Linked DNA regions of Callithrix jacchus. The protein of the gene in region 1 purifies or fractionates together with the protein of each later gene. This does not show direct contact. Links are inferred from orthologs where the notes say so. Each region holds a gene or a part of one and is shown in the gene's direction. Other genes may lie near its edges.

The links.
Region 2: the proteins of NEK7 (region 1) and ANKS3 purify together in Homo sapiens (affinity purification with mass spectrometry; 3 studies listed by BioGRID and IntAct, with this or other methods). This does not show direct contact. The link is inferred for Callithrix jacchus from reciprocal best matches to the Homo sapiens genes NEK7 and ANKS3.
Region 3: the proteins of NEK7 (region 1) and ANKS6 purify together in Homo sapiens (affinity purification with mass spectrometry; 3 studies listed by BioGRID and IntAct, with this or other methods). This does not show direct contact. The link is inferred for Callithrix jacchus from reciprocal best matches to the Homo sapiens genes NEK7 and ANKS6.
Region 4: the proteins of NEK7 (region 1) and NLRP3 purify together in Homo sapiens (affinity purification with western blotting; 9 studies listed by BioGRID and IntAct, with this or other methods). This does not show direct contact. The link is inferred for Callithrix jacchus from reciprocal best matches to the Homo sapiens genes NEK7 and NLRP3.

What each region holds. Positions count from the first base shown.
Region 1 is NC_133520.1:25,078,023-25,082,256, forward strand, and holds the start of NEK7 (serine/threonine-protein kinase Nek7), read left to right. Parts: upstream 1-1,305; 5' UTR 1,306-1,577; intron 1,578-3,504; exon of another isoform or gene 3,505-3,605; intron 3,606-4,234. UniProt on the Homo sapiens protein: Protein kinase which plays an important role in mitotic cell cycle progression. Required for microtubule nucleation activity of the centrosome, robust mitotic spindle formation and cytokinesis.
Region 2 is NC_133513.1:6,823,709-6,827,398, reverse strand, and holds part of ANKS3 (ankyrin repeat and SAM domain-containing protein 3), read left to right. Parts: intron 1-920; coding exon 921-1,079; intron 1,080-2,910; coding exon 2,911-3,051; intron 3,052-3,560; coding exon 3,561-3,690. UniProt on the Homo sapiens protein: May be involved in vasopressin signaling in the kidney.
Region 3 is NC_133502.1:146,909,069-146,912,758, reverse strand, and holds part of ANKS6 (ankyrin repeat and SAM domain-containing protein 6), read left to right. Parts: intron 1-254; coding exon 255-757; intron 758-3,690.
Region 4 is NC_133520.1:38,247,486-38,251,175, reverse strand, and holds part of NLRP3 (NACHT, LRR and PYD domains-containing protein 3), read left to right. Parts: coding exon 1-874; intron 875-3,690. UniProt on the Homo sapiens protein: Sensor component of the NLRP3 inflammasome, which mediates inflammasome activation in response to defects in membrane integrity, leading to secretion of inflammatory cytokines IL1B and IL18 and pyroptosis.

The sequences.
Region 1 (4,234 bases):
CACTGCAACCTCTGTCCCCTGGGTTCAAGCAATTCTCCTATCTCAGCCTCCCCAGTAGCTGGGATTATACGCTCCTGCCACCCCGCGCGGCTAGTTTTTGTATTTTTAGTAGAGACAGCGTTTTGCCATGTTGGCCAGCTGGTCTCAAACTCCTAACCTCAGGTGATCCACCCCTCCCCCCACTTCGGCCTCCCAAAGTGCTAGGATTACAGCTGTGAGCCACCGCGCCCAGCCGTTTTAATTTCTAAAAATAGACTTTCCGGATCTTAATTTCATGGCTTTAACATTTTAAATGAGCTATAATCTCATTGTTGGCTCGAATCGTTTTGGCAGGAAAGTTAAACTACTGAGAGACCTATGAAAAACAGCAATAATTTAATGAGCACGTCTAATATGCCAAGCTTTGGGCTTAAGCACTTTGTTTTATCTCACTTAATTCCAACTATGGTCCTAGACGTTGGTAGTGTGACTATTCTCCCTTTACAGAGTTACTGAGACTTGGAGAGGTTAAGTAACTTGCAGTCAGGTCACAAAATTAACCACGGAGCTGAGATGAGAATTTAGATATGACCGACTCCCCACTGCCTCCTAGCAGTCTCCTCGAGTAGTTCATGTCCTGTTACCGAAGTAGTGAAGCTGCTGGTGTCAAAACATTCCTTCTGCAGTTTCAGTTTCCTGTACTAGGGTTCTGGGTGATTTTGCACATATTTATTTCAAAGATCCTCGGTACCACACCAGGTAGTTTACCTTTCGGAATGTAAAAGCCACTGTCCTCTATGCTGGGACACTTTCACGCAACGCTGGCTTAGTCAGACTCAGGAAAACGCCTTGTTTCTCATTTCCCTGCACTCCACATTAAACGCAGAGGTAGTTTACACCACCTGGTAAAAGAGGACTGGATGACAAACGCTGTGGTCCAGAAGAAAGGGCACGTCACCAAGTCGGTTCACCGCTTGCTAGCGGGGACGCTTACATATAAACGAAGAGAAAACAAGTTCTTAAAAAGCAGCCGACCCCGGGTTTGGTGGGAAGCTGGCCTGAAGCTGGGAAGAGGGCTCAGAGGACCGGACGCCGTGCCCCGCACCCCGCTAGCCCTGACAGCGGCAAGAGACCGGCCAGGAGGAGTTCTTCCAGAGCGGCCTCGGCTCTAGTAGGCAAGCCGCCGAGGCTCTCCCAACTGCCGGGCTCGCGGGAGGACGCAGACGGGAAGCCTCCGCCGGACAGCCGGCCGGGACCCCGCGGAGCGGGGAGTGGCCGGCGCCCGCCCCGCCCCTCTCCTCGGGGATGCCGGGATGTTTACACTCCAGACAGCCGCGGCCGCAGGAGGAGGAGCAGGAGCCGCGGGAGGATGGGCCGCCACTAGGCTCGCACTCGGGACGCGCCTCGGAGTGCGCAGGGTGGGTGCCCGCGCCTGCAGTGTCCGCGGGGACGGCGCGGCAGGAGGTGGCTGATAGCTTCCGGGCCTCGCAGCCACAGCTCCCGGCCCAGCGCGGTTTCCGACGGCGGCGCCGGGCCGAGCCACCCCGTCTGCCCAAGGTCCCTCGCGAGCGGGAGAACGGAAAACTCCTAACTTCCTGGTGAGTCGCTGCTCAGGGCTCAGGCGCCCGGCCTGGGTAGCTCCTGCCGGGTGGGGCGGCCTGCGGGAGTCGGGCCGGGGGAGTGGGAGGTCGGCACCGCGCGGGGCGGCCTCCGGGATCCCCTTGCTCGGGGTAGGTGGGGCGGGGCGCGCCGCGCTTCAGTCGTCCGGGGTTTTCGGTCCTATTCGTCCGCATTGGTGGGAGGCGGCGGCGGCGGGAAACTTCATACCTGGCACCGACTCTGGCGGGCCGAGGCCGCCAAGGGCGCCGCGGTAACTAAGAAACTCCGCGGCCAGCGCCGCGGCGGCTGCAACAGGTCTTTGGTTTCTGGACCGGAGGAACTTAAGCGAAGTCCCGCCTCCCGGCGGATGCTCATTGGCGACGTCGGTTATTTATCCCTCGCGGATTGGCGAGGTCCGTCTGTCAGGATTCGGTCGCAGCCCGACCTAGGAAAGTGAAGTGCGCTGGAGAGAGTGGGTGGTGGGAGCCAGCAGACGGGAGATTCCGAAGTGGCCTGAGAAGTACAGGGAGCGTGAGAGGTCTGTTGGAGAATGAACTTGGGAGGGGCTGGAGATGACAAAATGTCGGCCAGAGGGATCGAGAGGCAATAGCGAACATTGCCGGTGATGGTGGCAGTGGAAAAGAAATTGAAAACTGAGGCCACAGTCAGAGAAGGGGAGCCAGATGAAGACGGAGAAAAGTGACATGACCGTATGACCGCAGAACAGTGCAAAGACGCGAACACAACCTAGAGGATGCTACCTTGAGAGCTAAAGAACTTCCTTGCCTCCTTTGCGCTGTAGGCCTTCACTCTTAAAACCGCAGCATCCGCTATTTAGTCTTGCACTTGGAGCGTAGTGGGGTGGTAGAGATGATGCATCAACCAATGAATCGTGTTCTCGCATAGCTGTAGTCCTCATTGGGGAGAAATACTAAAAATATACTTAGTTTACAGTAAGATACATGCTGCCATCCTTGCGCAATTCTGGTGACTGAACTGAAAATCTGAAATAAAATTATTTTTTCTCCTTTGAGGTTACTGAGCTCAAGGATGCGGTTGAAAACATCAAATTTCCGTTGTTTGTAGGGCCTTATGTACCTATCATAATTGGAACTACTATTTTTAATTCCTCCTCCAAGGAATTACAGTTTCAGGAGTATGCACACTCCCTCCAAGCGACAGCAGTATGTCTGGTCAGGTTGCATTAGAGAATAAAGTACAGAGCATGTGTGTTATAAATATGTTCTGTTAAGGACCTTGAGGTGCTGCTGATGTGGTCGAAGAATGACACAGTACTTGCACTAAAAAACTACAGTATGCTTAGGACAATCGGTCAAACCTTGCAAATGGCGAACAGTTAAACGACACATACAATTAACCCATGCTTTGTGGCAAGTCTTGTTCAATGGCCGCTATTTTTGATTTGTAACACGTGGCGATGGCCAAGTGCTCTTGAAACAGTTAACTTAAAATCTCAGCAGTTATTTCCAGAGAAAGTAAGCCTGTCTCCCTTGGCGAGATCCAGTCCACAGCTCGCTTCCCTCCTAAAACCGCGGCATCCTCTGTTGGGTCTTGCACCGGGAGTTTGCTGGGGTAGGGGGAGAGGTGTTGGAGCTTTGAAAACGCTTTGCCCCTCGGAGGAGTCAAAGGGGCAGAAACTGCATGGGGTGAGAGGAAGGCCTGAGAAATAAAGGCAGAGGAACCCTTTGAGGAGGCTAGTTGCCTTCTCGGGGCCGGTGTGTGTGCGTGTGCCTGGCTAGTGTTAAGGGTGAGGAAGGAGCCCGGGAGCCTGCGGTACCCTCCCGGAGGTGCGGGCCTGAGATTCCGCTGGGTGGCGAGAGTCTCCGCCCTCCGGAGCACTGACGGCCTTCGCAGCCAATGGGCGGCGAGGACATCGCGTTTGAGAGGGCGGGTACTTCCTACTCCGGCCCTGGGCTCGTAGAAGGACGCGCAAGTTGTTTCTCCAGGGATGTCTGCAGGAGGGATGCCAGGCTGAGGTCCGGCGTCGAGAAATAAATAAATAAAAGGTAGCGGGCTTCGGTTTCCCCTGAGCCGTCCTAGGTGTCCTGTTTCGTGATTCAGCTGTACCTCGAACTTAACTACTTCTACTGAAAGTTTATAGTAGATAAGTGAAATTGGTCAGCAAACTGAATGTAGTCCATGTGACTGACGGGGGTTTACTCTGAAATTATAAGAAAATGAAAACCAAGAAATGTCAGAATCTAGATCGTTAGCTGTTTTACAACTTTTGGGGAATCTTTCCATGGTTAAAACTCTTACCAATTTAACAAGACTATTTTCAAGCATACAGGCTCATTTTATAACCTGAACTATTTGGGTTTATTTATTTAGCTAATACATGTAGCACCCAGCATTCCTTTCCCCCTTCCATATTTTCCTGGCTAGACAATTTCAAGAGTTCATTTTCGTCCCAGTAAAACAGCACTTACCCCAAGAATGGGAAAAGCATGTCTGGTATAATAGCAGCGTCCTAGCGGAGGAGGGGAGATTTGATGCCCCCGTAACTAACGTACCTGATTAATAAGCAAAAAACCAGCATTGTATTGTAATGACCAGTGCAGTTACAGTTTGTGTAAATAAGTACTTAAACTCATAACCACCCATCCCCAAATCTTCCTGGAGTTTGCAGTTGATA
Region 2 (3,690 bases), on another chromosome or scaffold:
GTGAGCTACCGCACCCGGTCTCCTATCTCTTAAAAGTAGAATTGGACCAGAGCCTTATATGAATCAAATATGAAAAACTGAAAAGCTACAAAATAGTAAAAGCTCTGGGTTCAGCTCTGAAAGGTCAGACTAGGTAGTGATGTGAAAGAGTTAAAAATCATAGCAAACAGATGCTATGCTTTAGAAAATACAGAATTCCTTAAGAAGTTGTTTCCAAAGGAAGGGAACTGGAAAAAAAAGTTGTGACTGATATCATATTTTAAATGAAGAAATGAATTTTAGTTATTCCTTCAACTTAGGTCAAAACTTACTTCTGATTGTGAACAATACAGGCTTTTTATGAATTTGCAAACCCTGACAAAGAGGTAAGAATGAAACTCCTCACCGGACTCGGTGGCTTAAGCCTGTAATCCCGGTACTTTGGGAGGCCCGGGGCGGGGGGGGGGGGGGGGGGGGGGGCAGATCACCTGAGGTAGGAGTTTGAGACCAGCCTGGCCAACATGGCAAAAGCCCATCTCTACTAAAAAAAAAGACAGGGAGAAAAATTAGCTGGGCATGGTGGCGTGCACCTGTAATCCCAGCTACTTGGGAGGCTGAGGCATGAGAATTGTTTGAACCCAGGAGGCGGAGGTTGCAGTGAGCTGAGATCGCACCACTGCACTTCATCCTGGAGGACAGAATGAAACTGTCTCAAGAAAAAAAGTTAAGCTCCCCGTTCTCACTAACTTTGCAGCTCCCTGTGGCCCACTGGAGCAGCACCCCGGCCTATGTGGGCATTTCCCAAAAGTGATGTCCTGGCAGATACCCTCTCCTTAATTTAACAAAACCTGTGATAGTTACTTTCTTTCAGTTTAATCTAAGCATTAGTAAATTAGTCCATCACTGAACAGACTGTCTTAATCTTGGTGTTGGACCTACAGAAAAATACGAAGATCTGAGTTCTTCTGATGAGTCCTGCCCTGCTCCTCAGAGACAGAGGCCGTGCCGGAAGAAGGGTGTCAGCATCCACGAGGGGCCAAGAGCGCTGGCCAGGATCACAGGCATTGGCCTCGGGGGCAGGGCCCCACGGTGTCGCTATGGTGAGTGACCCGCGTCTCTCTGTTACTGCATACCAAGATTCTGTGTTGGCAAGAATGGAATAGCTCTTAGGCTCCTGAAACATGGGTCCCTGGACCTCAGGCGGTAGCAGGACAAGTGGCCCAGGCTTTCATGCTCAGGGAGAATCAGGATTGAGTCCAGTGATGGAAATGCATTGGTCATGAGCTCATTCTGGTTTTTTTTGCTTGACCTCCTTGACTTTCCTTTTCATTGGTTAAATTTAGGAATAAATCTCTCTGTCCTGCAGCAGAAATGTAGCTCAGGTCAGATTTCATTAATCGCATAGGTGGGTCGGCTCATACAGGGAGGATGCAGTGTGACGATCCACTTCCCTGCCTTACCCATACCAGCTGGGTCGCGTACGCTCTCAGGGTTAGGAGGCTAAGGGCAGACAGGCCCAGCTGTTTTCTCAGGGCAATGGAGCTGAGCTCAGACCCTCCTGAGAGAGGGTGCACTTGGTGGTAAAGAATCCTAGCCGTCAGGTTTTCAGATCTCAAGTTTATTCTCAGGTTGTCAGCCCCAGTGCTGAGCATTTTGCTCTTGGGAGTGCTGGGGGTTGTTTTTAGCTGAGTTGGATTTGGTACCCACTCTCTCTTGCTGAGCTCAGACTCAGCTTTGAGTTGTGTCTTCTTTTGATGGCTGTCACCCACCCATGGCCAGGCCAAGGGTGCTGGTCTCACAGGCCTGGTGGCTGGTCCCTCACAGGAGCAAGGCCTCTTTGAGGCCAGTACTTGGAATAGTCTGACTTTCCTAGTGAGAATAGTTTTAGCCAAGGGTACATGAATTACTGGATTCCCTTCTAAGACTCCAAGAAGAAGCAGAGGTGCAGACTTCTGTCTTCCCAAGCCTGGGTGCTGGGTTGGGAACTGGGGACCCACCTTCTCCCATTGTCCTGGGAGGGGCGGTTAACTGGGTCACTGGGAAGGCCTCTCTCCAGTTGCTGGCCACCTCCCACCACAGCAAGAGGGCCCACCTGTGTTCCAGCCACTGAGCTGTGAGCACTGGCTCTGGGACACTGGGCTGGTCATTCTGAGCAGCAGTCTCTTTCTTAAGGATCTCAGGCACCTGCTGCAGCCTGAGGTGTGGTGGGGGGAGGAAGGAGGGGTTTGATCCTGGGGCTGGGGTGGTAATTAATCTATATGGCCATATGACAGATGCTTTATCAAAACGATACATGTCTGAAGCTGTTTGTGGGCAGTTTTTAGGTATCCACAGAGCAGTGATGATGGTAGTGGTCTCAGGTGTGGCATTTCAGGGGATTTTTGTTTTTTCCTCTCATACCTTATGAAATTTAAATTTTCCATAAGTGCATATATTCTCTTTGCCAGTAATTTTAAAAAATTGGGGGATGGGCACAGTGGCTCAGGCCTGTAATCCCAGCACTTTGGGAGGCCGAGGTGGGTGAATCACAAGGTCAAGAGATTGAGACCATCCTGGCCAACACGGTGAGACTCCGTCTCTACTATAAAATACAAAACTTAGTTGGGCGTGGTGGCGCGTGCCTGTAATCCCAGCTACACAGGAGGCTGAGGCTGAAGAACCATTTGAACCCGGGAGGTGGAGGTTGCAGTGAGCTGAGATCTTGTTACTGTACTCCAGCCTGGCAACAGCGGGAGACTCTGTCTCAAAAAAAAATTGGGGGCCAGGTACAGTGGTTCATGCCTGTAATCCCAGCACTTTGGGAGGCTGAGGCAGGAGGACTGCTTGGGCCCAGGAGTTTTGAGACCAGTCTGGGAAATGTAGGGGCATCTGGAACCAGAAGCAACTTCACTTTGGAGTTCCCTGGGTTTATGGCCCCCATTCTGTACACAGAGCAGGTGCCTCTCCGCGGCTATGTCACCTTCAACAGCAGTGGTGAGAACCCCCTGGAAGAAGAGGGCCTCTGCTGCCGGGATGTCACCTCCCCCATCAACGAGCAGGACATAGAAAGCAGCAGCAGCAGCAGCAGTCGGGGTACGTGTGCCCCACCCTGTTCAGCCTGCGGCTCAGGCAGGTCCTGGAGCTCTTGTGTGCCCATCTTACCCCTGGCCTGGCGCTGGGGCATAGCCATCCAGCAGAGGACAAGAAAGGGCCAGATGTGGATGGCCCTGGTTCTTGTGAGGAAAGGGAGAAGCTTCTGGTCCAGCAGCCCCGTGCAGCTTAGGGGAGCCATTCCACACCAACAGGTTGAGCCCTTGCTTGGGAGCCCACCGAGGCTTTCAGGACACACTCCACTAGGAATATCTGTTAGAATCACAGCTCTGTGCAGCAGCTGTTAACAGAGTGCCCACCTTGGGCCAAGCATTGCTCCGGGTGCTTGAGATTAGCAGTGAACAAAAAGACAGAAGCCCTGCCAGTGTGTATAGAGGGGAGGGTTTAGCACAGGCAGGCAGCCTGAAACAAAAGGAATCAACCGCTGCAGGCGCCAAGGAATGCCCTGGACCCAGGGCAGCCCATGCACAGTACCTTGGTGAATCCTGCAGGCGGACACCCTGTCTTCCCGCCCTCAGAGGGACATGCTTTCTGTGCCAACCTGGGGCCTGTCAGGAGCAGCAGCAGCAGCGAGGGCCTGGCCAGAGCCCAGGGGCTCAGCAGCGAAGCTTCTGTGGAGAG
Region 3 (3,690 bases), on another chromosome or scaffold:
GAGAAACTTAAGTTCTTCCTGAAGGTCATATAGCTAGTGGTGGGGAGAGCTGGCTTTGAACCCAGGCAGGGCAGCTGCTCACCTTAATGATGGTACACCTGCATCTGTGGGGCTGGAACAGTGCCTGGCACAAGAATAAGACCTCTTATTATGAGAAGCTGTCAGGACTAATACTTCATGACAAATAGGGACTACATAAGCTGTCTCCTGATTGCTCTGCGTTTAGTGTCACTCATTCTCCATCTTCCTGGCAGATTCGGGCATGTGAGTGTGGCACACCTCCTGTTGGATCATGGAGCTGATGTCAATGCCCAGAACCGGCTCGGGGCCAGTGTGCTCACTGTGGCCTCTCGGGGTGGCCACCTGGGTGTGGTGAAGCTGCTCCTGGAAGCTGGTGCCTTTGTGGACCATCACCACCCCTCAGGCGAGCAGCCGGGGTTGGGCAGCATCAGGGATGAGCCCCTGGACATCACAGCCCTGATGGCCGCCATCCAGCATGGGCATGAGGCTGTGGTGCGTCTACTGATGGAGTGGGGCGCAGACCCCAACCACGCAGCCCGGACGGTGAGCTGGAGCCCGCTGATGCTGGCTGCACTCACTGGGCGACTTGGAGTGGCCCAGCAGCTGGTGGAGAAGGGCGCCAACCCTGACCACCTCAGTGTGCTGGAGAAGACTGCCTTCGAGGTTGCGCTGGACTGCAAGCACAGGGACCTTGTAGACTACCTGGACCCGCTGACCACCGTAAGGCCCAAAACAGGTCAGGCTGCATGCCCCCTGGGACTTTACAGAGGACCCCAAATTGTGCTTATGTGGCTTACGCTGAGGATTGCTCTACTGGAAGTACACACAGAAATCAGAGTCCAGCCCTGTAGACTAGTGAGACTGAGGAAGTGATGTGCTTAAGTATGGAGGAGATTGCCTGTGACATGCAGGTTCCAGCCCAGTCTCTGGAGAGTCTGATTTTAGTAACCTTGAGCAAGAGCCTGGAAGCTTCTATAGCAAGGCCATTCTCCCCAACCACATCATTCTGATGCAGGTGGTTCTGGGGTCCCTGAACAAGGTTTGGCAAACTTTTTCTGTAGAAGGCCAAATAGGCTATATGGGCCATACAGTCTCTGTTAAAACTACAGTGGTCAATTCTGCTAGTGTGAAAGCAGCCTTACGTAAGTAATGAGTAAATGAGTAGATGTGGCTATACTTGCAATATGTAAATGAGTTGGGTTTGGCTAGGTTCCAATAAATTATTACAAAAACAGGCAGTGGGGCATATTTGAGCCATGGGCTATAGTTTGCCAGCCCTTGCTCTACAATAGTGTGCCTGACGTCCTCTGCCCTGACCATTCCCCAAACACTAATTCATGTAAAATTGGTGAAAATTAGTTTTTTAAAAAAGATCTAGCTGTGCATTTTTTTTTTCCTTCTTGCCATCTCCCTGGCATGTAAAAAGTTGTCTGAACAATCCTGAGCAAATCTGCCACATGACATACCGCGTTTCAAAACCTCTAATGCACCATTTGCAGTAAGATCCCAGGGCATAACAGCAGGTGGGCAGCAGTGTATATAAGCATCTAGAAATGAGAGGTAAAAAACTGAAGAAAGTTATCTTCAGGTACATTGGCTAAAAAGACTTGAAAGTGTTAAGTTTGTTACCATTGAAAGAATATACAATAGCCCCATCAATCAAGAGATGCTGAAAATTTGGTAAGTGCTTATTAGAAATATACCATCCAAAAAAAATAAATAAATATACCATTCAATCAGAACAAGTCTGAAATAAATATATTTTAAAAGTCTGTAATGACAGAGAGGTGGCAATAATGAAGAGGACACTCAAATGAAAAGCAAAAAGTAGTGAAGGTTAGGAAGACCTATCTGAAGCCAAGAGACCTCTTACTTTGTCCAGGTGGGAAACTGAGGCCCAGAGAGGGAGGAAAGCTGGTCAAAAGTCACACACCCATTGGAAGCTAAGTGAGTGACTCTCAGAAGGTGAGGATTCCATGGGAAGAGCACCTTGAGGTGACTTTGCCCACCTGCAGCTCCTGCAGGGGCTCTAGAAGCTGATTTTTCACATGCCTCTCCTAAGCTTTTGCTTCATCTGTGAAATGGACACAATGACAGCAACTACTGCAGGTGGTGGTGAGCAGAAGGCTGGTTATCCGGTTCACCTTTGACGTGTGAGACACTCAGCCTGGTAGAGTGTTAGGGCCTCATAAAGGCTTGCAATTAGAAATTAGGGACCCAGTCTTCCAGGACAGGGTTTTTGTTTTGTTTTGTTTTTTTCTGACATAAGGCCATTGCTCTTTAAAGATTTGGGTTATTTGTGGCGGGGGTGGGGAAGGGATCTGTCTTTCCCAGGCCCTGCCGTGCCCAGCGTACCTGCTGTGCTGAATCTCCCCTCACCTTCACAGGGACCCTCTGAGGAGGGTGTTCTCCCATTTTGCAGCAGAGGGAACTCAGGCTTAGAAGTGGGCACTCCTTAACTTGCACCCGCCTGTGCCTACCGAGCTGTGCCTCGTCTGCTGTGTGTGTGTTCTCCTTCCCAGGTTTCCTCAGCCTCTGCATCTTGAATCTTCATGGAGTGCCCTCGGGCTGCTTCTGACAGGCCTCATTTTAGGATTGTCTTGCATTGTGGGATGGTGATGTCCTCATTTCCCCAAGATACAAAGGCTCAGACACATTGGTGGATGTGGCCAAGGTCACCATCTACTTGGTTCAACCTTGGCTGTGCCACTGCTGGCCAAGGGACCTTGAACTGATTGTCTGAGTTCAGCAAGCTCCCCTTTCCTTTTCCACAAATGGGTGGTAGGACTGACACCACCTCAGGACTGCTGTGGGGCATCATGTGAGATCCTTCCTGGCCCTGAGGGAGCACATCACAAATGGCATTACTCCATACTGTTGTTGGCATATTTGATGGGAGCAAACCTTGGGTCTTCCAGCAGGATTGGGTCATGTTCCCGTCAAGCAGACCCAGTCTGAGGCTCAGTTCTCCCTCTCTGTACCAAAGTGGTCTTGGTCATGTATAATTGGCCCTGCAGGACTTCAATGCCTTTTTTTGTAAAACAGTCATAATAAAGTCACTTTTCTTGGGAGGTTTTGTGAGGAATAGTAAGATCATGCCTATAAAATTTTTGTCATAGTGCCCTAGCACATAGACAACATCCAGTAAATGGAAGCTGCCATGTTTTGATTGATCATACATTCATTCTGATACTTTCCAAAGATGTACTGAGGCCTGCTATGTACCAAGCACCTTTCTAAGCACTTTGGATACATCAATGAACAAATGAGACCCAAATCCCTGCCACTGAGTACTATGGCCTCCATAAGGGGAGACAGGCAGTAAAGAGGAAATAAACATATTAAATATATAGTAGGATAGGTGGTAAGTGCCATAGGCTTAAAAAAAACAACAAGGGCAATGTAAAGAGGTTGGCTGTGGCAGAGCTGGGACAATGCAGTCTGCTCTGTGAAATGGAGTGGTTGGGCAACCTTGAGAAGGCGAGGCTGTAGCAGACATGCGGGAGCTGAGGGAGTACAGTGGCCCTGGGGGAATCCCTGGGAAGAGCCTCAGGTAGGGTGCAGACTGTGCTATTGATAATGACAGATGATAAAATAATAGGAGCCCCAGCTCTTACTGTGCAGTGCCCAGAAATCCAGCCCTCACCAGGGCCTTGGAGGTCCCCTGGT
Region 4 (3,690 bases), about 13 Mb from region 1:
GTGGCAAGAGCCTGGCCCAGACATCCAAGACTACCACTGCGGTGTACATCTTCTTCCTCTCCAGTTTGCTGCAGCCCCGAGGAGGGAGCCAGGAGCATACCCTCTCTGCCCACCTCTGGGGGCTCTGCTCTTTGGCTGCAGATGGGATCTGGAACCAGAAAATCCTCTTTGAGGAGTCTGACCTCAGGAATCACGGCCTGCAGAAGGCGGAGGTGTCTGCTTTCCTGAGGATGAACCTGTTCCAAAAGGAAGTGGACTGCGAGAAGCTCTACAGCTTCATCCACATGACCTTCCAGGAGTTCTTTGCTGCCATGTACTACCTGCTGGAAGAGGAAAAGGAAGGAGGGATGCAGAATGTTCCAGGGAGTTGCTTGACGCTTCCCAGCCGGGACGTGACAGTCCTTCTGGAAAACTACGGCAAATTCGAGAAGGGGTATTTGATTTTCGTTGTGCGTTTCCTCTTCGGCCTGGTGAACCAGGAGAGGACCTCCTACTTGGAGAAGAAATTAAGTTGCAAGGTCTCTCAGCAGATCAGGCTGGAGCTGCTGAAATGGATTGAGGTGAAGGCCAAGGCAAAGAAGCTGCAGATCCAGCCCAGCCAGCTGGAATTGTTCTACTGTTTGTACGAGATGCAGGAGGAGGACTTTGTGCAGAGGGCCATGGACCATTTCCCCAAGATTGAGATCAATCTCTCCACCAGAATGGACCACGTGGTTTCTTCCTTTTGCATTGAGAACTGTCATCGGGTGGAGTCCCTTTCCCTGGGGTTTCTCCACAACATGCCCAAGGAGGAGGAGGAAGAGGAGAAGGAAGGCCGACACCTCGACGTGGCCCAGTGTGTACCCCCAGGCTCTCTCACTGCCTGTTCCCTCGGGTAAGCAGGCTCGGCTCCAGCAGGCGGCAGAGCGTGCCCTCTGCCCCCTCTCCAGCTTTTGCTTGGCACCTGCCTCCTCTGGTGTCTTTTCATCTATCTTCCAAATTTAGTTGCCACAGCTGTGTAATGATGCCGCCACCACCCATTTCACACCCCTTCATGGGCAAAGGTTGACTTGTGGTAGGTGGATAAATGGGGTGAGCAAAGAAACAATGAAATAAGGAACAAATGTTTTGGGAATGCTAGTTTAGCACAAGGGATGAGGGAGGTTGGAGGACTGCCTACAAAGGCTTGCCAAAAGAAACTGCTCGTCAGCTATTTGGAGCGCTAGTGCCTCATGGTCAGTCAATGTCTCTGGGGCAGGGCAATGCCAGACTCCGTCCCAGGAGCCCAGGGGACAGAAGGCCCTTAGAGCTGGAGGCTGGGGGAGGTTTCTTAGAAAAGCGCAATTTAAACTTGGCTTTAAGGGATGCTGGGACATGTGTGCGGGGAGAAGAAAGTAAAGGGATCCAGGCATTGAAGACCCACACAAGCAAGTCGGGAATGCAGTCTGAGAAGCATGTGCAGGTGGCAGTGGAGAGAGACTCGGTTTCCTTGGGAAAAATACGATAGCGATGAATCAAGGGAAACAGAGCAGAAAAGCTGAAACGCTCCTTCCAGGCCCCCATGTTGCTTTGCCCTGGGCTGTCGCCAGAAGTGTCTGCTCTAGGGTGTGCTCATGACTTGCTGGGCGGTTGGAAGCCAGTTGCCGAGTCTGTGCAGTGAAGCAGTTGAGTCAACTGACTTCTGTGTCCCTTCTGGGTTTCTTGTTCAGTGGCTCCTAAGAAGGACAGTGGTTGTAGGAAGGCGGGCACCCTGTGATGTGAGTTTAATCCGTAGAGAAGACAAACAGGAGGCTAGGCCCTTCCACTGGCAGCGGTGAGCTTCAGCTTCCTCTAGCCCTGACTCTGCCCGGCCAGGACACCTTCCTGGTCCTCATTTGGCCCAGAAGGACCAACTGCTCGCAGGGCTGCAGTGGAGGCTGAGACCCAGGTCCCTTTCATAGGGCTTGAGGTCCGTCATGGGACAGTCAGGAAACAGGTGTGGGTGTGTGTGCGTGTGCGCATGTGTGCACATGTATGTGTGTGCATGTGCACGTGTTTGCGTGCGTGTGTTTGCGCACGTGTGCACGTGCGTGCACGTGTATGTGTGCACGTGTGCGTGTGTGTTCATGCGCGCGTGTGCGTGTATGTGTGGGTGCATGCGCGTGTGTGTCACGGGCTCTGACAAGGAACTTGCAGAGTACCCAAAGCACAAGGGGATGAACCTGTTCACTTCTGCGGCGTGGGTGTCCCCCTCCGCCAGCTTCCAGAGGATGGGCGGAGTGACAGAGTGAGAGAAGGCCAGGGGCAGCCCAGGCTGGGGGTACAGAGTATTCAGAGGGGGCAGGCGTGGGAAAGCAGGGCCAGCAGTTCCGAGTGACTGGAAGAAGACAGATGTCTCCATCTGTCAGGCTGCCATAGCCAAATGCTGTAGACTGCTTGGCTCACAAAAAAAAGCAATGATCACCGTACAGTTCTGGAGGCGGGAGGCCCGTGGACGAGCACCGGCAGATGTGTTTGGTGAGACCTCATCAACATCACACACCGGTGAGGAAGCAGGGTAGGAGGCTCAGCACCCGTCCCTCTAGAAGGCAGCCCCACAGGGGAGAGGGGAGGGACACTGAGGGGCGGCCGCAGATGGCACTTTCTTGCTGCGTCCTCACAGGTGGAGGGTGAGGCAGCTCTCTGGGGTCCCTTTTGTCAGGGCAGCGATCCCACCGCGAGGGCTCCACCCTCATAACTTCATCACATCTCAAAGGCCCCAGCTCCTCATACGTCACGTTGAGGGTTGGGGTTTCAGCATATGGATTTGGGGCACACAAACATTCAGACCACAGAAACGGGAGAAGAGGAATAAGAGAAAAGCAGGCAGACCTACTTATTAGAAGTGAGGTGGAGGGTCAGGGAGGCCATGTCCGGGTCACACACCCGTGAAGAAGGCTCGCAGACTCGCACTGCTGCCCTGGCGGGGGCTCAGCACCCGTCCCTGTAGATGGCAGCTGCTGGCCAGGCGGGGTGGCTCATGCCTCTAATCCCAGCACTTTGGGAGTCTGACCGGGGCGGACCAGCCAGGCCAACATGGTGAAACCCCGTCTCTACTAAAAATACAAAAATTAGCTGGCTGTGGTGGCAAGCACCTGTAGTCCCAGCTACTTGGGAAGCTGAGGCGGGAGAACTATTGAACCCGGGAGGCGGAGGTTTCAGTGAGCTAAGATCACGCCACTGCGCTCCAGCCTGATGACAGAGTGAGACTTGTCTCAAAAAAAAAAAAAAATGTAGATGGCAGCTGCCTACCTCTGAGGACAGATTCTGACTGGAGCCCTGGTAGGGGCTCAGCACCCGTCCCTCTAGATGGCAGCTGCCTTCTCCCTCTGATGGCAGGAACTTGCTGTGTCTCAGCACTTTCTGAGAACCAGAAGCCTGGGCATCTGTTAGAAACGCAAAATTGTAGACCCAGTTGTAGACCCGGGGAGGAAGACTTTGCATCTGGATGAGAGCTACAGGTGATTCAAAGGTAACTGCATGTGTGCTGCAGTGGCTCATGCCTGTCACCCTAAGTTTTTGGCAAGCCAAGACAGGGGGATTGCTTGAAGCCGGGAGTTCAAGTCCTGCCTGAGCTGCAAAGTGAGAGCCCTTCTCTACGGAAAAACAAAAGCAAAACGTGACTGCATGTTTGAGTCACCTGGACATTTTAAAAGATCCATGTAGCTGGACACAGTGACTCCTGCCTGTAAC